3 linked regions of the Caenorhabditis elegans genome follow. The protein of the gene in region 3 purifies or fractionates together with the protein of the main gene of each other region. This does not show direct contact. Each region holds a gene or a part of one and is shown on either strand. Other genes may lie near its edges.

The links.
Region 1: the proteins of ule-2 (region 3) and rskn-2 fractionate together in Caenorhabditis elegans (co-fractionation; one large-scale study listed by BioGRID). This does not show direct contact.
Region 2: the proteins of ule-2 (region 3) and C15F1.1 fractionate together in Caenorhabditis elegans (co-fractionation; one large-scale study listed by BioGRID). This does not show direct contact.

What each region holds. Positions count from the first base shown.
Region 1 is NC_003279.8:8,011,116-8,021,540, reverse strand, and holds rskn-2 (Ribosomal protein S6 kinase), read right to left. Parts: upstream 7,132-10,425; 5' UTR 7,074-7,131; coding exon 6,909-7,073; intron 6,639-6,908; coding exon 6,241-6,638; intron 5,861-6,240; coding exon 5,714-5,860; intron 5,670-5,713; coding exon 5,363-5,669; intron 5,258-5,362; coding exon 5,085-5,257; intron 4,961-5,084; coding exon 4,729-4,960; intron 4,670-4,728; coding exon 4,580-4,669; intron 4,408-4,579; coding exon 4,286-4,407; intron 3,758-4,285; coding exon 3,649-3,757; intron 3,403-3,648; coding exon 3,123-3,402; intron 3,072-3,122; coding exon 2,924-3,071; intron 2,621-2,923; coding exon 2,470-2,620; 3' UTR 1,961-2,469; downstream 1-1,960. Other genes in the region: C54G4.7 (AB hydrolase-1 domain-containing protein), read right to left, coding at 182-360, 410-497, 566-687; dod-18 (Nucleotide PPase), read left to right, coding at 674-739, 787-921, 1,141-1,244, 1,288-1,440, 1,711-1,846. UniProt on the Caenorhabditis elegans protein: Serine/threonine kinase that may play a role in mediating the mitogen- and stress-induced effects on transcription. May repress transcription via phosphorylation of 'Ser-1' of histone H2A. May phosphorylate histone H3.
Region 2 is NC_003280.10:6,986,172-6,993,083, reverse strand, and holds C15F1.1 (ShKT domain-containing protein), read right to left. Parts: upstream 3,205-6,912; 5' UTR 3,192-3,204; coding exon 3,128-3,191; intron 3,015-3,127; coding exon 2,880-3,014; intron 2,828-2,879; exon of another isoform or gene 2,723-2,827; intron 2,586-2,722; coding exon 2,503-2,585; intron 2,458-2,502; coding exon 2,360-2,457; intron 2,209-2,359; coding exon 2,161-2,208; intron 1,952-2,160; coding exon 1,738-1,951; intron 1,622-1,737; coding exon 1,502-1,621; 3' UTR 1,397-1,501; downstream 1-1,396. Other genes in the region: C15F1.2 (uncharacterized protein), read right to left, coding at 4,638-4,760, 4,825-4,939, 4,987-5,165, 5,219-5,332, 5,589-5,741, 5,791-5,948, 6,028-6,244, 6,290-6,912.
Region 3 is NC_003282.8:14,631,278-14,637,614, reverse strand, and holds ule-2 (Uterine Lumin Expressed/locailized), read right to left. Parts: upstream 2,490-6,337; 5' UTR 2,485-2,489; coding exon 2,365-2,484; intron 2,246-2,364; coding exon 1,781-2,245; 3' UTR 1,591-1,780; downstream 1-1,590. Other genes in the region: irld-4 (Receptor L-domain domain-containing protein), read right to left, coding at 3,246-3,361, 3,669-3,984, 4,164-4,312, 4,369-4,438, 4,488-4,490.

The sequences.
Region 1 (10,425 bases), on a different chromosome or scaffold from region 3:
CTTTGTGACAAAAATACGGTATCCGGTCTCGACACGATGAATTTTGTTAAATGCAAAAAGGTGTGCGCCTTTAAAGGAAACTGTAAGTTAAAAACTCTGCAGCGAGTTTTAAAGTACAAAAAAATTTGTCGTGCCGAGACCAGGTACCGTATTTTTTAAAATAAATTTTCAATTTTCTTACCTAAAATAAGAGTGATCTCCGGTGCCTGCCAAATGTATGCATACGGGGCCTGGTTTCTGAGGAAGATATGCTCTGAAATGTGCTCGACCGACGTTTCCTGGCATATGATTGGGAAAGAGAGTGGCATGAGGACTTGCGAAAAATCCCTCGTATGAAGTTACGCCATTTTTTGAATATTTCTGAGAATTATTTATTATTGAAAAATGTTTTTGAGAAATTAAAATTTACCTTCACAATGTCGATTTTGGGATTAAGTTCTTTCACATAATCCATCACAAGCCTCTTTGACATGACATCTCTGCGATATTTTGCCATTCTAAAATAATAATAACAATAATTAATTATCTATTAGTTTCTCAATTTCTCAATTAAAACAAAACGTACTGTTTAATTACATCCGGATGTCCCCAACTTTTTGTGAATAATTGACTGAGCACAAGAGCCGATCGAAATTTCAGATCCACGTGTTTCGCCCACGACGGCAAGTTCGGAATGAAAGAAGCCATTATTGTATTGGCAAGTCAGTCACCAAATCGACTCAAATTGTTGCAGCAAATTGTGAGAAAATGAGAATCTACAAAAAGAAAGATTTATTTCGGTTTCAGGGATTGGAAAATGTAATCGTAAAAGTTTCAAATTTCGAGGAAAATCTACCAAAAACATTGCCAGTTAAGCAGTTTGTCATTGAAACAGCTAAAGGAAAATTGACGACTATTGTGGAAGAAATGAAAAGAAAAGAGGTATAGTTATTTTTTCAGTAACTTGAGAATATAGTTATTAGTTGAAAAACAAATCGGAATTCAACAAAAAAAATACGGCAACATTTCTCGACGCGACCTAAAACTTTTTGCGCAAAATTTCAGAGTGCTGCAGCATATCGAGACCTGCTACCATATTTTTAAAATCTAAAATTGAAATTATAAAAACTGAGATATTATATTAATATATGAATTATTAAGGAGCCGTACTCTGTTATTATTGCGTGTGATACAGTAATCGAATTCAATGGAGAAATTATTGGAAAACCAACAGATGCCAATGACGCTAAAGAAACTTTGAAAAGGTAATTAAATTTTCAACATCATAATTGTATAAATTAATTTCAGACTTCGTAACAATACTCATAATGTATATACTGGAATGGCTCTACACTATCATGAAACTGATCAATATGAAGAGATCATCGAGAAAACAATTGTTCATTTTGGAGATATTCCTGATAGAGTTATCGACGAATATGTAAAAAGCGGAGAGCCATTGTTAGTTTTTTTTAGCAAAAAAAAGTTATGGAAATATTTATTGATTGAAAGTTATCAAAATTTTTGGAATTGAATTTCTTATCTAAAGTCATAAAAATGAAAGAAAAATTGGCGGTCAAGAAATTTTGAACATTTTATGAGTATTTGAAAGAGCTGCAAAACTTGAGGGATTTTTAAAATTTTCATCACGTTTTTCATCATTTTCATCACGACATTTGAAAACTCCAATAAAAAAACACGAATAACTGACCTAGTAAATCGAAATTTCAGGAAAAAAGCAGGTTCATATGGAATCGGTGACTTTGGCGCTGTCTTCGTTCGTGGAATCGAAGGATGTATGCCGAATGTGGTTGGTTTGCCACTTCACCGTCTTCACCAAGCTCTTATCGCTAAAAATATTCTCTAAAATGCTTTCACTTCCATATTTTATTTTCTCACATTACATCAGGTTTTCACGTTGATGCTTCAATCGATATTATGATTCGGAGCTTTCAAACCTTCTCCAAAATAAATATGTAAAACGAATTACTTAATTTTATTAATCTTTCAAAAAGTCGATTGGCAAGTCAATCATGCTCATCGCAAAACATGGAAGAATTTCTGGAAATGGTTCAAGAGTTCAGGGAGTCACTGGAGACAATGAAAAGATTACATGGGGATAGGTGGATGAATAAAGATATGTGTATCTAACAAAATGATTATAAAAAATTAGAAATTTACATGAGACTAGATATAATAACATAAAATGAAATGCACGAATCACAATATTTTTCAAAATTGGTAGAGGATTGACTAGAAATGCGAAATATCTAACAAATGACAATCACTACAGGTTCAATGAACATTTCAGCAACTGTACTCATAGAGAAGGCAATGCCACAAGTGTCAGGTGACGGAAAATTTGTAAAATAGTGAGAATAATGAGAGAGTACAGACTAGAAAGCATCTAGGACGAAAGAATCACAACGCAAACAGTGAGAGAAACAGGAACAGAAAGGAAGAAAAATTAAAAGAAACAAAGAAAAAGGTCTAGGAGGAGTCTGAGCCACGAGTTTCTCGGATTGTTCCAGAATTTGGTTCTCGATAGTTCATCATTCCCAAATTGCTTGGACGGGATGTTGATGATGTCATCTCTGCTTCTTGTTCTTCCGGAAGACACTCGAATTGGGTAACTCGCGAACTGGAAAATGACATAAATTGTTGAAAATGAAAGTATATTTTCAGAAACGAAAATGTTCACAATGCGATCAAAATTAGAAGTATCATATTTTTTTAGAAAATAATTATTATTAATAATTTCATAAATATAATATTTGAATAGACGTTCTAAATAGTATAAAATAAGGAATTTACAATTATTTGCAAACTTAAAAACTAAAAAATAAAATTTTAGAGAAATGTCGTCAAATGTGGTGTTTCTTGTGCACTTTGAAACCGTACCCCAAATTGGAGGAGTTTCAAATATTAGGGTTCTTGAACTCACTTTTTCGAGTTTCCAGAAGCATCCTTGTCCCCAGATTGTCTTTTGATTCCGCGTCGTTTCATGAGAGGAGCAGCAGCAACATCGAGAAGATGGAATCCATCACGATTAGCGTGGAGGAATGCGCGCAGTGTCTCATTGAATGTTTCATCTGAAAAGTCAAAAGATTAGGTTATTCAATTTTCAATAACATCAGTTTAACTACCTGCTGATGATGGCAGAATACTAGGAGTTTGAAGTGGTGTATCCATTGAAGCCGAAGACTTGAGCCACATATGAGCTGTAAGCTCTTGCATTGAAAGACGTTTCTTTGGATCCACAGTAAGAAGACCGGTTATTAAATTCTTAGCATCTGCTGACACGTTTGTCCATGCGTCTCCTGTGAATGAGAATTCTGCTCTACAAATTCTCTGCATTATTTCAGTTGCCGATTCTTGACGAGAACGTGCATGGAATGGAACTTGACCCGATAGCATTGTGAACTGAAAAATTTATTCGTAGAAAATGTGCCACACAATTTAAAATATTTCTTATGAATTTCTAATAACCAGGGTTCTCAATGCGTCCAAAAAATTTTTCACGATGTGGTACTGTAGTTGCATGCTTCCATTTCGTGATTTTTATCGATTATCAATCGTTTCTTAAATTTGAGGGGTCTTTTTGTTTTTTCTCAAAATTTTTACTTCGATTTTTGAAACATTAAATTATTACAAAATTATACAACTAACCAGTACAACTCCAAGTGACCATAAATCACATTGTTCGTTGTATTCTGGTTGAGAATCTCCAACATCTAAAACTTCTGGAGCAGCATACTGTAGTGTGAAGCAGGGGGTCCTGTAATTATGATTGAAGAATTTCATAGTGAGAGTTAGGCAAATATATAGAAGCTATTAGTGAAAACAAACGTTATTCAAAGATGAATTGGGCATTCTCTAACTCTCAAGTTTACAGAAAATTTGAGAAACTTAATGTGAGTGTTTGTGAATTGTTAGTAAACAGCTTTGTCTTGAAAATCAAGTGAGAGTCAGAGAATGAGTGTGTTTCTTCAAAAATCTCTGAAATCAAGAAAGAAACCCTTAGTAGAGATAAGTGAAAAGAAAGGTTTAAAAGGATAGAAAAAGAAGATAATCTGTAACAAGAATGCACGAAACATCACACACCACCGTCTTCCTCTCTACCAAAAGTAACTTTTTTCGAACATTTGTTCTTTTAAATTTTCAGCTTGAGACACATGCTCCCAGTTAAGAAAAAAAAACAAAAATATGCCCAATAATGAGTGAAAAAAGACAAAACACAATAACTTTTGACTAGACTAAATGTTACTCCGAGTGGAGTGAATGATTGTGTGCGATGAGACCGTACATCTTGCGCAGAACTTGAACAGACTTCAGTTGTTGTTCCATTGAATTTGGAAGTAGACGTGCAAATCCAAAATCGACTAGACGAAGGCGGGCACTTGAATCGATACTTTCAAATAGAATATTCTGGAATAAGAATAACTGTGCCCGTTTTTTTAAAAATTGCGTCATAATTTTCTAACTACTCGAGTATACTCCACCTTTAATTATTAATTTGTTTCACTTTTTGGAAGTATTTTATTCTTATGTTTTGTATTATTTTGCAGCCACTTAACATAATCTGATCATTGAAACTCACCTCTGGTTTCAAATCTCGATGAACAATTCTTTTATCATGAAGATATTTCACAGCTGATACCAACTGCCGCATGATGTCTGCTGCTTCACTCTAAAAATTTAATTTTCAGAGTAACTCCGAATTAAAGAAATGCTTAAAAGAATTCTAACCTCTGTAAATCGTTCCAATTTTCGAATTCTCTCGAGCAGCTCATTTCCAGTCAGAATCTCCATGACGAGATAAAAATGAAGAGGATCCGAATGTACATCATGAAGTTGAACAATATTCGGATGTCCTTGAACCATTTCAAGAATTCGTGCTTCACGTTGAGCCTGACTTGCGAACTTTTGTGATACGATTTTGACTGCAAACTGGGCTCCGTCAACTACGCGTTCGCATCGTCTGAATTTGTATATTTTATCTTTAAAACTATGTAAAAATAACGTTTTGTTGAACTTTTTCGAGATTTTCGAATCTAGAAAATAGTTCCAGCACATGAAATGTTGATGAAAATATAAAAATTTACCTGACCACCGAAAAAGCTCCTTTTCCTAAAAGACCAGCGTCCGACTTGTCTAGTTTGTACTTGGCAAAAAATGAAGAACTCGCGAGAAGTGCATTGACATCTTCAGCCATTAGTTCTTCACCGATAACATTGTCATTGGCAAATATAACAGATGGGGAGACATATGAGTATCCCTGTAATCACATAATTTCTTCTGGAAATTTATTTTTGTCAAACATATTTCGGAATTCGGCTCAAAATCCGGCAATCGGTGCCTGCCAAGTTAAGAAAAAACTCACTCTAAACAGAGTATTAGCATTTAATGGTGACTCTGCAGGAGAATATAATGGTGGCTGAGAAGTGAATTCAGCTGAGAAGAACTGTGTATCCAAATCATGTCCAATTCTTGGAACAATCACTGGCTTCAATGTACGCTTAACAGCTGCATCCCAGTCAATACTTGACATAAATTTATGATTTTTAATTTCATCAACTCCATTGTATCCGAGACGTTTTTCAAGTTTCTTTTCCAACAATTGGCCGATGAAATCGCGAGCATCAACATCCATAGTTTTTGGGAAAGGGACCTTCTTTGTCATAATTCGTCTAAAACTCGAAGAAATTATAAAGAAAATGAGGAAATGATTTACTTGGCAATATCTTTACTAGAGTTTTGTGCTCCATCTACAGTAAATGGTGAGCATCCAGTGAGCAATTCAAATGAAATTACACCCAAAGACCACCAATCGACAACATCACTGTATCCTCCTTCAGGGCGATTGATTACTTCTGGCGACCTGGAATCATTAAACTTGAGAATTTATTTCTTATCTATTCAGAAATTACTTTTACACAGCCGTCTGTGCCAATTTTCGTTTGTAAAGAATTATATGAAAATCTCAATGAAAAAATTCAATAGCTCAATAATCAAATATCAATGATCAATAATTTTCAACAAAAAATGATACCTTTTAATATACAACCAAAAAGTAGCAATTACCCAGTTTTTGTTAATCCTAATTTTGGAACTACATCAAAAACTACGAATTGTATATTCTAATCATGTTTAAATTATTGACATGCAAATAATTCTGAGGTTTGATAAGTTCTTTTTTTTTTTAATTCCAAATACGTTTGGCAGTGTGCCTAAACTTTGGCTGGAAATTTCAAAACTCACATATATTCAATAGTTCCACAATATGAATTGGCTCTATCCAACTCTCCGGGTAGAAACAATTTACTTAATCCAAAATCTGTCAACTTAACGTGTCCTTCTTCGTCCAATAAAATATTCTCAAGCTTCAAATCTCGATAAATAACTTTTCTTTGATGAAGACTATCAATTGCAACCACAAGTTCAGCAATTACAAATCTAGCAGCTTCTAAATCAAAATGACCTCTCGAGCAAAGATGTGTGAATAATTCTCCTCCTCTCACATATTCCATTACAATGTGCAATTTGGTATCAGTTTGGAAAGCATAGAACAAATTGACAAGAAATGGTGTTCCACGTAGACGTTCAAGTACTTGACGCTCTGCCATTGTGTGCTCCAGGGTTTTTTGTTTTGTGAGCACCTGCAATCAAATTTGTTTTTTTTTCGTTTCATATTAAAATACTAATCTATAAACTTTATTTCACCTCACTTTCCCATCTCTCAAAAATTTTTCAATCCAGTTATTTGTTTCGAAAAGTTCAAAACCATTTCAAGAATATGAATTCCGGCAATTGTCGGTTTTTTCGCTCTTGGCGAGAGATGAAAAAACAAATAATAATACAAAGGTTCAGCACCGTATAAATGAGAAATTATTATTTTTAAATTCATTTCTTTTCCAAAAATAACTCACTCTGGTCTTTCTCAACACTTTCATAGCATATATAGTATTATGATCCTTTCCACCAACTTTTCGCACAAGGAATACTTTTCCATATGCTCCTTTTCCAAGAACTCTGAGGAGAGCAAAGTTCTCCATGGAAACTTTCTCTCCTTCAGGCATCAATATATCTTCCATTTTTTCTATATATGTATGCCTTCTGCCTATTTTTTGTGTTCTTCGGGTTTAATCACCTGAAAAATAAAAATTGCACGAAATGAGGTTTTGCAAATATGCACGTAGGCATAACAAGGTTATAAGTGAAATCGACTGAGCAGAAGAGAATAGAGTGAAAACAAAATATTGAAAAAACAAACTCAATTTTTGCAGATCTAATAATTTACATATTAGTTTTCAAAACTAAATCTAGTAGTTGTTTAATTTTCCAAAAAAAAAGTAATTTTGCATTCTTCTGAAATTCGAACTTAAAGGAGCTTGTCAAAATATTTTCAATCTTTAAAAGATTAATCTAAATAAATCCATGAAAACTTCGAAATTATGACAATATTTTCAAATTTATTCATGTTTAGAGGATGACTCACAAATTGGCTAACTATAAGAGTTCTAATAACTGAGTATCAAGAGAATGATGACAAATAATAGAATTTCACAAGACAAAGTCATTAGGAAGATCTTGAGTTTTAAGTTTTGAGATCTTAGGCTTTAATAAAAGAAATCAGAAGATTATACAAAATTTGGAATGAAGACTGCGAAAAAAAGAGACATGGAAAAACAGAAATTATCACATGAATCTTGCAGAAAAGGAAATGAAAACGAGAAATCCATTACCGCTTGGAAGGTTGAGAACAAGAAGGAGAGGAAGAAAAAGAAGAAGCACAGCACAAAAAAGAGGACAACATAGCAAACAGAATAAAAAACAAAATGAAAAGTCTTCTAGAGAAAGAAAGATTTGTTGACCAACTCTATTCACCTCCGATCATTTTCAGAAATCCCCTTTCCCTTTTCTCTCCATCCAACAATATTCTGAAAACTTGAAGAAGTTGTGAGCTCAGGCTTTCCTGCCAAGAGAGCACAAGTGGTGTGGTGTCATGAGCCATAAGCAAGAAGAAGGAAGATGAAGAAGGAAAGAGAAAGAGACAACGATGCAAAAGTGAAAATATGCCATGTGTTTTGCGTGTGTGCTTCGTTTTTTCTTCCTTTCTTTTGTTGCATTTGCTGCCGTGGCTCCGGTGAGCAAGAGCAGAATCAAATGGAACACAAGAACACAACAAGCAGAAGTTAGAGGAATGAGAAGAGTGAGAAGTAAGAGAAATGGAAGATATAAACAGGAAATATCAAAACAACACTTCTACTGCTTCTAGGTACCTAGATTTGGGGAATTCGTCTAACGAAGAGAAAACTAACCAAGCTAATCAACAAAATATTAACGAGAGGAATGATGGGGCCTGTATAAATTTAGTTTCTAGCGATAAATATTAAGAATAAATATCTTGAAGCTTTTAAAATAACCTAAATTAATCACTTCTGCTTTTAAAGAAACTCAAATCAATTAGAAATAAACATTTTGCAAAAAAACCAGTGATACACTAAACATCAAACGAAATATGAAAGAAAAGTTCACTGGCCAGAAATTAAAACTAGGAATTTCAAATCTTAATACTTGAAACTGAAAAGCTCAAAATGAAAACAAGTTCATTAGTTGTTTTCATCGGAATTTTTTCAGAAAAGTAATACATTTATCTTTTAATGTTTTGTATTTTTCAAAATATTTTCGAATCTATTTTAAAATATTCACCAAAATTAGTTTTATTTTTTAAAAGGGTGTAATGGTTCCGCCCACATCTTGGTTGTTTTGCCGTTTTGCACCCACGATGGAAAAGTGAATAGAAAAAATTCTTCATACTATTTTTTAGAGTTAAAATCAAGTTTGCATTCGACTTGTGTTTTTGCTAGTCAATGAAAATTCTGCATCTGACAGCATAATTTAAAAGTTTTCTAGAGTTCACACACAAATCATATTTAAAAATATTTGATTACTTTCCGAACCCCAGGAGCAAAAGTTATAGGAACATTTATGAAAAACGTTGGACACAGCTTGTCACAATAATTGTTTTTTTTGCTATAACTATAATTATCATCACGAAAAAAGAGTAAAAGACCACAGAGAACACAAAGTTGGTCACAAAAGTAAAATGACCTCAAATGAAAAATGCAGATGGGCGAGAAAGGGTCGAATTTACATTTGCATGTGTATTTGGACTGCCAACTTAAAGTTTATGCATTCTACGTAATCAAGTTTCAGAAATTAATGGGATTATGATTAGAAAATGACATTTGCAATTATAGAGATCAATTTAATATGAATGAATTAACTGAAAGTGCAAAAATTCTGCAAAAACTAGAGTGAAATTAGTAATTCATCTGGAAGGAAAAAAACGATAGTTATTTTGTTGAAATTAGATTTTAGGATGAAAAATAAATTTTTTGTTCAAATGAGAGATGAAGAATTGATCCAAACGTGTTGCTGAAAATAGAACATTTAAAATTTGTCGAACCTGATATTTAGGGTGTGCGGAAAATCTACAAAATTGCTGATTTCTCTGCAATAAGCAAACTTATGAAAGCAAAAGCAATTTGAAAAATTCGAAAACTCTCTGGAAATAATCCTAAATTTTGTTTGAAATAGAGCCCAACTACCGAAACTTGCCAAAACTTTGACCCATTTTTTCAGCAGTGACTAACTTTCAGTCTTTAGATACTTTTAAAAAAATTCAATCAAAACAAGAATTGTGTTCAAATTGACTAAATATTATTCTACATTATATTAATTTTTTATCTAAAACAACCATATCGAAAAGAGAACATTTGCCGTACAACCCTCTTTTTGAAGAGACACTATCAAAGATCAGAGACCATTTTAGATAACACTAATTAAGTTCAAACGGAATTTTACATGGGAAAGAATCACAAATATTTTATAAGAATCAAAAAAAAAAGAACATTTTTAATAATTTTTTGATATAGCCTATGCAATGTGTTGTTTGTGTGTGTGTGGTGTGTGTCGTCGTCGGTTTTTCCCCGCTTCAATGGCATTGAAGAGAGAAACGAAAAGAAAAAGAATAGTGAGAGATTAATGGTTTATAGTAGAGACTCAGACACATTTTTTGGAGAAATGAAATATAAAGATTAGAGAAATGAGTGAAAAAGCAGGATCAGTAATTACGATTGAGCACAAAAAAGGATTTTGAAAAATCAAGTGTTTGGGAAATGTGATTATTATGGCAGAACAAGAACAAAATAATAATAATATTATTCATGAATTATAGACCAAGGTCACAACAAATCATGAATCATACAAGTTCCTACAAGCTTCTGATTTTGGAAAATATATGCCCGCAAACTAGAAAACTACTATTTGAAAATTTGTATCTATCAAAAAAAAAGAAAAAGAAAAATACACAATTAATTTTGAAAAGGGACAAAAATTCCGATTCAAAAATAGCGAACCTATTGCAAAAATTTCTGATTG
Region 2 (6,912 bases), on a different chromosome or scaffold from region 3:
CGCGGGCTCCACAAATGGATCGATTGGAGGCACGACGTCTGGGGAACAAGTCTCCGGGGATGAAATAGTGGACGAGGTGAAGAGATTGAAGACGAGTTGAGAGAGAAAAGAAGAAAATGAGAATGGATTTGGTGGAGAATTCCCGAGTAGGTGCTGAATAGAAGGTGCTTAAGCGTAGAATACACAGAAATTGAGCATTTCTTGCAAGGCATAAAGTACTTTTCAGTGTTATTTTTGTAAATAGATTGAGATCAAAATAACAGCACTGCAGCTTTATGAAATCATATATCTAATTGTAAAAATTAATTATAGAAGTGTGTTTTCATATTCTTTGTGGTTTAGTTTTCTTCTAATCATGATTTTAAATGCCAATTTATTTAGAAGTCTAATTTTATAGGAATCACAGATTTCGCAAACGGGAAATTTTTCAGTCATCATACAGTATTTTCAGGCGAACGGCAAATCGTCAAGTTTTCGGCAAACATTGCATTATTTTTTGGAAATGTATCAGATTAAATACCCTTACTAATTCACTATTACAAATGGGTCGTGAAAAAATTATTTTTAAATGTTCATGGAAATTATTGTTTCTCGAATTTTCGGCATTTTCCTGTAACGTTGGCATCCGTTTTTTGAATTTTTCTAAAGTTGTGAAAAACTCAAAATACGCGCTTGTGGTTTTCATGAAAATTTAAAACTTTGCTTATCTCGCGCAGACTTCTTTCAGAAAAATGGTTCTAATTTCCGTTGAAAAGCACTCTTTGCTCCCATTCTTTCGGTTATTGGATGCCTGGCACTCGAAAATGATGAATTTGGCAACGATTTGTCTTTCTGAAGACGTTAAGAGGAAACGATGGGAGATGAAGCTCTCACAGATAGAAAAATGTCAAAAGGGGAAATGAAGTGGTTGAACAGAATAGAAATGGACATAGAGAACTTGATGAGCAACTAAATTGCACCAACGGACATCTGGTTGCATATTTACAACTATGGGGAGACACGAGAATGCTCTATAATATGTCTAAAAATTATGATCGAATGCCGATCGAAAGTTTCTTTTTTCATGAACTTGCTAAAGTCGGTTATGATTAAAGATCACTAAGCGATAAGTTAAAATTTAAGTTTAAAAATCACAAATGTCATCAACTCCCATCGAAATTTCTTCTAAAACCTTATTCTCCGCTAGTCTACTCTTTCATCTTCACTCATCGTTAGAATCCTCATGAATTGCCAATAAAAGTGTCAATTCTTGCATCCATTTTCTCACTTCATTTGCTTTCTTTTTCTTTTTCATTTTGGCTCATTTCACAGCTCATTTATTTTCACTATTCTATTATACAGTGACTCTTGAGATGGTGCTATATACATATTTAGCAGCTTTTAGGAAAACTCATAAAAAGCAGCAAGAGTTTTTATTTTTAAGGGGAAAGGGGGAATCAATTGAGTGGGAAGTAGTTGACTAGAAGTGGAATAGAAAGAGATAAACACGTTTTTCTTCAGTTTATGGCTCAATTTTGTTGTAACGAATAAATGTGTGCTCCTGCATTCCATGTGTTAATGTCTCCATGTTCAGACGGGCTTGAAGTGTTGATCGATCCAGAAGAGTCCATTCTCGGACGAGCTGAATATTTTAAATTTTGAGTTTGATTGAATTATGTGAAATTAGAGCGTTTTTGAATTTTGTTGTTGGTTTTCATTGTTATGACTACACACAAAAACACTATTCTAAAAACTTACATCATGAACAGGCAAATCTCTGCTGAAACTAATTCTTCCGATATCCTTAAGCCGGAATCTAATTTGATTTCCATTGACTGGACCTTCTTCGACTGTCACAAAACCATTATTCATTACAGTTGTCAGTGCGACTTCTTTTGTGTTTGGTTTCACAGAAATATATCCATATTCACTGTGCAACTCATCTTTATCATTTATCGACCAGGCAAATGCTCTGAAAATTCGGAGCATTTTGAAGATAGTATTGAGATTTCTATTGTCACCAATTCCCTTTTACAAGTACACTTTTCCGAAAAAAATAGAAGAGCCACCAGAATTGACAGAATCAAAAATAAAATCCCAAGACAAAACACTCAACAGTTCGAAACAAAAAAATAGGTTTTTTTGGAAAATAAATAAAAACAAAAAATGACATATGAAAACCTGTTTGGATTCTTCTCATCTCTTTTTTCTACACTCCATGCGAACGCTCTAAATTTAAATATTTTCTGAATCTGAAACATCTAAACGGCAATATTTCCAATAAACCTTTCACGTGAACGTTAACATGCCTACCTGCCTCGTACAACCACCAAATAATAGGCGGCATGCAGGCATGGCATAATTTCAGTTATTTTCTTACGTGTAGTTAAGAGCTTGAGCCGATTGCATTGCATCGCCTGGAATTGAAATTTCGATTTCTTCTCCAAATGTGAATTTCGGAATTGTTGGGAAGATTGCCTAGATTTATTAAATTTAAGAATCTGGACAGTTTCAAAAACGAACTTTTCCTCCATGTTCAGATCTCCATTTCCCTACTAGGAAACCAATTGGTGTGAGTTCCTGAGAAAGACGACGTAAATCGTATTCTGAAATAATAGTATGTTTTTAGAAGTTTTAGAACCACAAGAAATTGCAAATTTAAAAATATAATAGTTTAAATGTTTATTACTATTTTGAAGTCTAATATTATGTTAAATACTACCCTTTCAAATATTTTTCCAGATTGTTTGCTCAATTTTATTGAATTTCTAATGTGAAAATTCTTCCGTCATTTCTTGAAAATTTTTTATGTAGAATTCCACTTTTTTAAAACTATCATTAGTGTTTTAATAAAGTGTAATAGCTGAAGTTTTTAATTTTTAAATAAAGAAACAACCTACTGGGATCAACCTCTCCACATTGTCCACAACTCTTGAGACAACTTCTTTTAATATATTCAGTTGAATCACATGCATTTGGATTGACAGTAATCCAATCTCTACAATTATTATCAAAGTCCCGGCATGTGTCGGCTGCTGAAAAAAAGATATACGTGAAAAGGGTATTGTTATGTTTAGTGTAAACTGAATATGGGTCTGGGAACCTGTTTTTATGGCATTTTATTGTGTTTTGATTGAACGAAACAAACCTATTGAAAATGATAATAAACTGAAAAGTGTGAACAATAGAAATGACGTCTGATGTATTGACATTTCTCTGAAAAGTCTGAAAATGATTTTATGAAAAGAAATGGAAAAAGTAAACGAAAGGGTAATTGGTAGAATGACGGGAAAAAGTAAAGAAGGAACTACTAGAAATGGTTGATATGATAGATAACTAGTGAAAGGGATAGATTTTTAATCAAGGTTGGCAGAAAAAATCGAATGTAAAAGGAGGGAGAAGGTGAGTGAGTGAATGAGAAACAAGAAGAATACAAAGAGGAAAAGCCTTCTTTTTTCTCTTTTTTATCACTTATCACCTCAACATCGTCAATCAACGAGCGTCGTGCCGAGAACCGAAAACGATCTTTTCCAGTGCTAATTGAACATTGTTTTCTCTGCGTTTCTTTCTTTTTTTTCCATTTTAAATTAAACTTGTTCGAGTTAGGGTGCAGACCGGTGAAAATTGTGAGATGAACGATAAGTAATTGGATATTCAAAATATTTTGAACATTGGTGATTTGATTAATGGAACAATAAAAACAATTAATATTTCTGGAATACAAAAATGTAAAACATTTCCGTTCCAAATGAAATAGTTTTTCATGAAACTATTCTCACGAGAGAGGTTAAAAATCAACATTATAATGTTTATTATAAGTTTTTAATTCATTAGTTATTTCTGAAAAGTTTCAATGCTCTCCATTTTTTGTGGTGAAAAGATATGAAAAAATAAATTAAATTAAAAAAATATTTTGAAAGTGGTTTGAAAGGACTTTGGAAGATACATCAGCAATATGAAAATAATCTTCAGTGCTCAACTAACCCATATTAACTTATATGTGTTTGATATTTCTTCAAATTTCTTGCCCCGAGAAAAAACGAGAAAAGATATTTAAGCATACTGTCCTGAAAACCAAAACTTATCGTGTTACTAATAAGTTCATTACCGAAGTAAATTGAGGAATTAATACTTCTTTTCGAAAACAGTTCTTCGTCACAAAATGGTTGAAAAAGAAAAGAAAAAGTAGTGAAGAAAGAAGGCGTGTGAGGGGAACGTTCATTTGGCATTTCCATTCATCTTTTCTTTGGCATTTAGCATGTCATTTCAGTTACAAGTGTGGAATGCAATGTATCAACTGTAGAAAGAGAGAAATGGAAGTGACCATTTGGAGAATAGAACACGATTTACTGTTCATCTTCTTTTCTGTACTGGAATTATCATTTGGTGGAAGTGAAAAGAAACAATGTGATATTAGAAAATTGTAAATAATATGCTATCGATTCCTGAAACTTTTCCCACTCATAAGTCGAAACCTTAAAAAAATATTTCATTTGTTTTTTAAAAATTAATAAGTTATTAATTATTAAATTACTCGTGAAAATATGAATGAAATGATTAAAGCGAAACCGGAAAGTCAATAAACAAAATTGGCACCAGTGAGATAACCGGCAAAGTTAATTGGAATGTAAAACAGTATTATTTGATTATTTTATAGATTATGCTCTGTATTTGGCCATTCGAACAACTCGGGCTCCCCGAGAAATGTCTAAACCAAGTTGCGCAATTTCTTGAAGTTTTTGACCAGCATCTGTATTTAGAAGGAGTTGTCGAACAACATTCTGAAAAATAAGAGAGTTAGTTCACCGATAACAAAACAAACGAAAATATATAGAAAAAAGATACCTTAACAGCTTCTTTGGCTTTTCTCTTAACACATTCTTGTTTGATCTCATTTATTGTAGCTGTCAAGCTGATAATTGTTCTTTCCACTTCAACCTCGAAAGTTTCTTCACGGCATCTGAAAATTCAGTTTTAAAAGAGAATCAGAAACTCAAAAAATCATACTCATCAAAGTTCGGACAACAATCTCTGAGATGTGTACACTTCTCTTGAATCAAATTAGCATCATGGAAACATTCTCTAGATTTTGAATATTCAAACGATGTATTCAAAAGTCGCCGGAGAGAATCATCATATTCATGGCGTTTGTGTTCAGGATAAGCAAGACAAACTGAATCTTCAAACTGAAAAATAATGTTAATTGTAGTGAGATTCATACAGAATATGTGTAACTTACATATTTTTCGTTCTTATTATCTAAACAGATTCTGAGCTTATCATTTCTTTTAATCATATACTCGTAAAGCTCAATTACTTTGTCTCCATCTTTTTGTGAGCACACTCCGTCGTCCTGGAAGAATTAATCAATTAGAATTACAACCAACTAGTCCGACCAACTTCTTAGCGCACTCTGCCAATTGCTTACAAACAGTTGAATATTTTAGCTATTTAACAAACTCCTACAGCTTTTCAGAGGACCTTGGCAAAGTTTTGCAACACTAATAAGAGCTTTTTACAAAGTTTTACTAATTTTTATAGTTGTTGGAATTTACCTTGCAGTTGTGGCGTTTTGCCGAACAGCTATTCAATTTTGAATCGAAACTTACCTTATACAAAAGGCTCTCAGCAGATTCAGCCATTGTAGCCAGTAACTGATCACTTGCAAATCTCCATGCACAACTATCAACAGCCAAATGCATTTGTGAACGACATCGCATGTACATATCACATGTTGTTTCATTTCTTTTAATTAGTGTTGTCTGCAATTTATTGGAATAATATGTATCTCACTTATCAACAAAAACTCACATTACTGTTCTGTTTAGTCCATAGATTGTGTTCTCTCCTGAATGCATCAATTTCAACTTTGTATTCTTCAGAAATAAAGTTCTTTATCACTTCCTCGCCTTTTTTCTTTTCGGGATCTTCTTCTTTTTCACCTCCTACGATCAATGTAGTAGCTCCTTCTGAAAAGAAAGGAAATTGGAACTAAGTAAGAAGTTTAAAAAAATGTAAATAAAAAACTTCACAGTAGCTCCGACTTACTCTGAATAATGAACTTGTCTCCATTATCATCCACGAGCATAGTTGACGTGGGATCGTCTATTGACTCGAATACAACTGTACTATTCATTGATTCTTCGGTTTCTTGGCAAATTGGGAGATCTCGAGTTTCATTTACAACTTTTTCAACGTCTCTTTCAACTTTTTTATAATCGGTGTCATCAAAGTTTTCCAGTAGCATTTCAAGTGCCTTCTCAATCTGAAAACTCACATTTACTAGATTGTTCACTCTACAATTTCAAACCAATTTCGCCTTATTCTTCTGTTCATCATCCAATTCTTTTCCTTTTAATCTTTGTTCAAATCTTTCCACAAGTCCCTTCACTTCCTTGAAATCTTTCGAATTTGGATTTTCACCCAAGATTTTCAGAATATTGGAAAATCGAATAGTCGTAGAAACTCTACATTTTTCAATAGTTTGGTTCATCTGTGGAAGTGCGATTTTTTCGACAAAAATGATAGGACTTGTAGTGACAGATTCCGATGAGGATCCAAATACGATTGATGATGAAATTGAAGTTTTGTCACCAGAATCTTCAACAACAATATTATCATCATTTGATTGTAATAAAGTAACAGTTCCCATTGGTGGCATATTATTAATTGTTTCAGAAACAGTAGCTGCATCAATCAATGAATCAAATCCTTCTTTTGCAATTTTCGATCGATCAAGAGTTTCAATTCTTTGTTTAATTGAATCTGTTTTCTTCATTGCTGCATTAAACTTTTGATCGAATTCTTTCTTTGCATTTGTTTGTGGTGGATATGATAGTTTTGGAAGTGTTAATCCATCTCCTTCCTTATCTCCATATCTTATCAAAAGTTTACGAGCTCTCTCTTCATTTTCCTGTTGAGTTGTAAAACGAA
Region 3 (6,337 bases):
GCTTTCACACCTTTTCTTAGAGATACATTTTGTATGCATTTGAGTGCTACTGGGGAGGTGAAAGAGTACATAAATAGAATAATAGTCTGTGCAATGTTTGACAGGTTGTTGAACACCTGGGGGAGACAAATATTTTGACCGGGCGTTTGGCTGGAACAGAGCAAAAAGTGTTGTCAAACTGTTCAATTTTTAGAATAAAAAATATATAAAACTTATAAGAAAAAAAAACTTATAATTCTGTTGATCAGTTTATTTTTATGTTGGTGAATAAAAACACATAGTGAAACATGATTTTTATAAAACATGGAAAATTAAAAAAAAAATTTTTTTTTTGATTAACCAAAAGATGAGCACTTTTGTTTACAGCAGCAGACATCTTGAGGGTCTACTTCAAGTCAGAAAACTATGAGTAAAAATATTTTCTAAACGTATTTTTCTGTATTTTTTATTAAATAACTTCATTTTTAATCTACTGGGAAATCGAAAATTTATCAGTGATATTTTAAAAAATCTAGACTCAATTTTGGGTTGAATCGGAGCTGAAAGTGTTGTCGAAGTTCAATGTCAAATTTCCTTCATTTTTTTTATATGATCCCAGGATTAAAAAATTTTCAACTTACATGGTTAAAAGTACATAATAAAACGGAACATTTTTTTTTTTTGATAATTAAAATCAAAATCTAATTTTTCGTTTTTCGATTAAAAAAATTACGAAAATTAATAATTCACGCTTAGCAAATTGATACAACTTGATGATTGCTCCCAGCACCGGAAAACTTGCGGGTTTTCTACTTTAAACTGTGTGAGTTAACCCATGAGATGTCGGGTGCTGTGTGAAACACCATATTCTTTTTAAACGTTATTTTTTAATATAGAACATTATATTATACATAATAAAAATTAGTTGTGAAACTCTCTCGAAGTGATCATTAATTTAAAAAAAAGTGACAATTGTGCACAAGCCATAAAAATTTACAGTTTAAGAATTTTTATACTTTTTAAAAATTCACAAAATTTAAAAATATAGGCCACAAAAAATATTGAATTGAAAATGTTTATTCAATAAATCTAAATCTTACCTGTTACTGGTTTTTAAGAGGAATTTGTTTTACGAAATTTAAATATTCAGCCAAAATAAATATACAGCGTCGACGGCAAGCCGAAATTTTCTATAGAACGTTTTATATTATGCTTGAATATTTAATGAATACCTATAACCATTTGTACTGCTGGTTTTAAGCTGGACACATTTTGTATAGTGCTGAAACAATTTAAAAATATTAAATTTTCCCATCATGTTTCATTAACTCTGTTAATATCGACAAACTGGAATTTTTCATTAGAATGCTGAATTCACTATTCTTTGTAATTTTCAACGTCAGCAAATGAACAATGCGCCTCCTAAATATGTGCGTTTAAAAATTAAAAAATAAAGTTTAAACAAATAAATAAATAAATAAAGTTAAATAAAGTTTTAAAAAGTTTAAAAGGTTAAAAAATAAAGCAATTCAAATAATAAACATTTGGCGTTTACTTTTTAACATCATGAAACAGTAAATTATTTGACAATGATTTATTAAAAATCCATGTATAGTTTCCAAATGAATGTAATTTGAAACCGCCTTTTATTAATCTCATGATAATTTTCATCATTACAAAAGTTAGAAACTGAACTTATTGAAAATATGAACAAGTTAATTGTAAACATTAGTATTTCGGTTTAAATAATTCAAATATATTGCATGGCATTGAGCACACATTTATTGTAACAAGATTTAAGTTAAAATGAATTTTCAATAATTCCATAGTTGTCGAACTCAATTTTCATTTGATGGCCCATCACACAACCGGATCTCATTGCAAAAATCATTCGTTTGAATAGATTTACATCACTGATTTTGCAAGTTGGCTGGTTTTTCAGTTCGTTCACAAAGCAAGGTAGGTACACAGTAATCCTATTGCAATCATCATCATCGAATTTCTTGAAATTCTTGTAACTTGGAGCAGGATCACAAGAATCAAAAATCTTGCGTAAAACTCCATTCCCAAGACATGGCTCCAGTTTTCCATGAAGTACGTCTAGAATCCAACGTTGATTGAACAAATATGACTGCAAAATTCTTGAACTATTGCAATTTAAGAATCCAGAACAATCTAGGACGTGAGTGACTTCTTCGATTAGTGCAAGATTTTCTGATTTCTCAGGACGGGGAATTTCATCAATTCTTGTGAAAAGACGTGGATTCTGAAAAGGGCATACGATTGAAAATAAATTAGCAGCACCCTACATCATGCGGGTTGGCTATGCGACTAGTCTTAGCCAGAGCCTGCTAAATGTGGGGCGCTCCTGAATCAATGACTTACCCTAACACAATTCATTATCGATTTGTATTCCACTTGACATTGCTCATTAGTGACAATTGGTGGAGGGGTACCCCATTGCCCGGAGACCAGAGGTAACAGGAAAAGAATGTAGAAAATCATGATTTATTTTTTTCTGTTTCAGAACGGTCTTATATATTTTTGAAAAACAATTGAATCGGTACTTCTTTGTTTGTATCAATTTTAAAGTTTAATATAACATCTGACTCATTTTCCCGAAGAAAAGTTTTTTTCAATTGAAAACGTATTAATTCAGAACAATTTTTTCACTGTTTCGGTGTTAAATTAAAAAAACACCGGAAAATTTTTCCAGTTACAGTTTCTTTCCTTGTTCCATCCAAAAATATAGTTAACGTTTCTGGAAAAATATCGCCTTAAGTTAAATATTATTTAAACGTTCTTACAATGTAGTACTAGGCAAATTCATATTTTATTACTACGTTACCCACTAAAGTACTGTGACTTACTATTAGAAATGTGCCCAAATAAACTAATTTTGTGATAACCCCTGTAAAACTTCTCAGCTTTAGCTGAAATCTCCAAAACGCGGAGTATTACGTGGCAAGAAATTTCGATAAATGCTCAATTTGAAATATTTTAGTGTTGTATCTATTTTTATTGTACTATCACTGTTTTGTAAGTTTAGATAATTTTTAAGCCAAACGCTCAGATATCAGGGTTTTAAATGCACTGAATTAGTTTCCATCTCGTATCAAAATATTGAGTTTAATTTTTGTACATGAAAACTTATATACAACTTGAAACGGTTGTCAACTTTTTTTAAAGCATAATCACTTTCTACTACATCATAAATATAAAAAATTACACACACAATCAATAATTTATCCAAATAATTGCAAATTTCAATATTTATGATATCCAGGCACAAAATAGACGTTAGTACTTCCCATACTCAATGGATGAAGGAACATTGTAGCACAGATGATCAATGTGAATAGGACGGCAGCAAGCGACATTCCTGAAAATTGATTTAGATATGGTAAATGTGACTCTCAAAATGAAATTGATGGGTTGTCGTGCTTCGAAATCAACTAAAACGAAGAACGGCAGATGCGAGTAGTGTATTTGAAACAGTAAAAAAAAATAGTAAATATGAAAATGTTCATAATTATCATAAGTCATAGTTTGGATTATTATGAAAACAAACGTACACTTATGCTCATTTTAACTACTCAACTAATAGTAAACTAAATACTGAGTCCTTATGAAAACTATGTGAAACCGCATAATATTTTTTCTTGTTATATATTTTTCTCAATTCTCACCTTCTGCAAATTGAATATTATAATTTGGCATCAATCTCTTTTCACACGAAAGTGGAGAATATGGTTTGTGGAACATTTCTGGCAGGTTAACAGTATCCAATTCCAGATTTCCAGAAATAAAAACTGGAAATTCATTTCCCGTAATCTTGACATCCTTATTCCAATCCACAAATCCACGCATATCACGGAGTCTTGTATTGTTGAGAATAACGAGTCCAGGGAATGAATTATGAGTTTTAATACTGACAAGATTTGGCATTTGAGGCATTCGATTGAATGGAGAATTGATTAGTGAAAGGGTTCCACGGATTTCACGCTGCAAAAAATAAAAATGCGGTTTCAGATTCTTTATTTTAGAAATTCAACATTACTCAGATAGATAACACTTAGAACAGAATTCGAGAAATTTCATCATTTGATAAAAAGTACAGAGTGCCTGCGCCCGGAAGATGTCGGACGCTGCATTTTCAGAAACCAACATACATGTCACCTTACCAATTTCTCAAAATTTGCAGCTTTCAAATTAATCACTCTCAAATGCAAATTTCCATGAAACACTTGACACCAGTTAGGCCACTCGAGGTAGTTCTGAGCGTCACGTTTCAAATTTTTAATGTTGCAGTGGAATTGGTTCGGGATTCCATCTGAAATACAGTTATCTAAATATCTAATTGGAAATTTTTTTTTAAATAAGCGTTACCTGTATCACAAGAGCTTCCAACTTGAGCCAAGACAACCAGAGGGAGCAGTAGAAAATTTAGAATGCAAAACTGAAACATACCTTCAATTGTTCGATTTTCTAGAAAAAAAAGTACTCACCATTCTGATTGTTGATTTGTCCAGGAAATAAATTATATATTGCGTATGAATTTGAAACGTCGTGGAAAATGTGCCAAAAAACGTTCGATCAAAAAGTTCACGGAAAATGTTTGTTTCTTTGTTATCAAAATAAATTGATAAATCATAATTTTAGATTTATACAGTTTTATCATAGAAAAGTTCAATTTGCACCCGAAAAAATATTCCAAGTGTTTCAGAATATTGTTATCAAAATTTTATTTGAAAGCATAATATTGGGATTGATGCAGTTTCACTTTAATTTAAATATTTAAATAGATTTCGATTTACCACTTAAATGAAATATCAAACAAAGCAAAAACAAAATGACCCCAGTAATTTGAAAACATGTTTAAACCTAATATTTCACTTCGACATTTTTTTTCGAATAATGTAATAGTTTTAAAAAATGTTGAATCATTATTTTCTTCTAAAAACGTTTTTTTTTCTATTATTTGAAAATGACAAGTTCATTAAAATAAACTGTGCGGTCAACATTTTTTGACTTCAAATTAGAAAAATACAATACCAAATGTTTCATAGTTGCAGCGGCCGACATCTATCGGGTTTGAAAACTAGGTAGATGTCGGGTGCTTGTCAGACTTCCCAATCACTGCTATTCCTAGCAAAATTTCGTTACATTCGCCGCGTCAGCACCACCCGAATATATTGTTCTCCCTAATATTTACCGACACATTTCGGCCTCTCCAATCCAAATTTAAAAGAGTATATTTAATTTTTACTCGGAACAATCTTTGCTCTTTTCAACACAATTGATTCTTTGATTTTCAGATGGGCTTCCCCTTTCGCCAATTTTCTCCCGAACTGCTCAAAAAGTTTGCATAACGTGCACGCAAAGTTTTCGATTTTGATCTTTGCGTACTTTGCACCCAATAGAAATATTGAAATTTGCAAACGTGACAATCTGAAAAATATGAGAGTTCAATTGACAAGTGACGATGTTTTTAATAAATTTTTTAACGGAAAATGTTTTTGGTTTTTATCTCCAAGAAGATTGCAGAAAGTTTTGTTCCGGTCCAGAAGAATTTAGCGTGGTTTGGAGCCAAAGAATCATTTTTTGAAAACGCCACAAAAAATTACAGTAGGTAAAAACGTTCTGGAAAATAAATAATCTAAAGGTTCAATCGAGCTATAATTCATACGTTTTGCTTACAACTCAAAATTTTACACAGATTTACTGCGTTAACGTTCATTTCTAAAGATACTCATTCGAACAAGGCAAGTTATTGACAATGAGAAAATACACCTGTTTCATATAAACGTTGTGAAATAGCACAATTTTTTTTTCTTCAAACTATGTCAAACAATTTCTACAGTTTTTGTATCTTTTTCATCTTATATCTTATATCTTTGAAAATGCTATAGTTTGGGTTACTATTCAAAAATATTTTACAGAAGAGTTTTTAAATTTTAAATAAGAAAAAAAACTAACTGATCCTGAAACCAGCATCCTAGATTTAAAACCTAATTAGTTATATACTTTTTCAAATCACCGAGAAAAATCTAATTAAATTTTTTTTGGTTAGTTTGCTCAACCAAATATCAACTTTCAACAACTTGCAATTTATTCTACTATTTCTCATTGTTAATTAACGCTTGCCCAAAAAAACTACCACTCAGTAGGCTTAGGATACCTTCAAATTCGATCAAATATTCTCTAAAATATTTCTGTTTCACATTGTTTTGAAATCGATAAATCATTCTTACCATTGGTTACCATTGCTAACAGATTTTTTTTCAGCTGCATTGAAGAGAAAAATTGCATTATCAGGTTAAATAAAAAATTTCAATCCAAAATTAAAACAACTGAG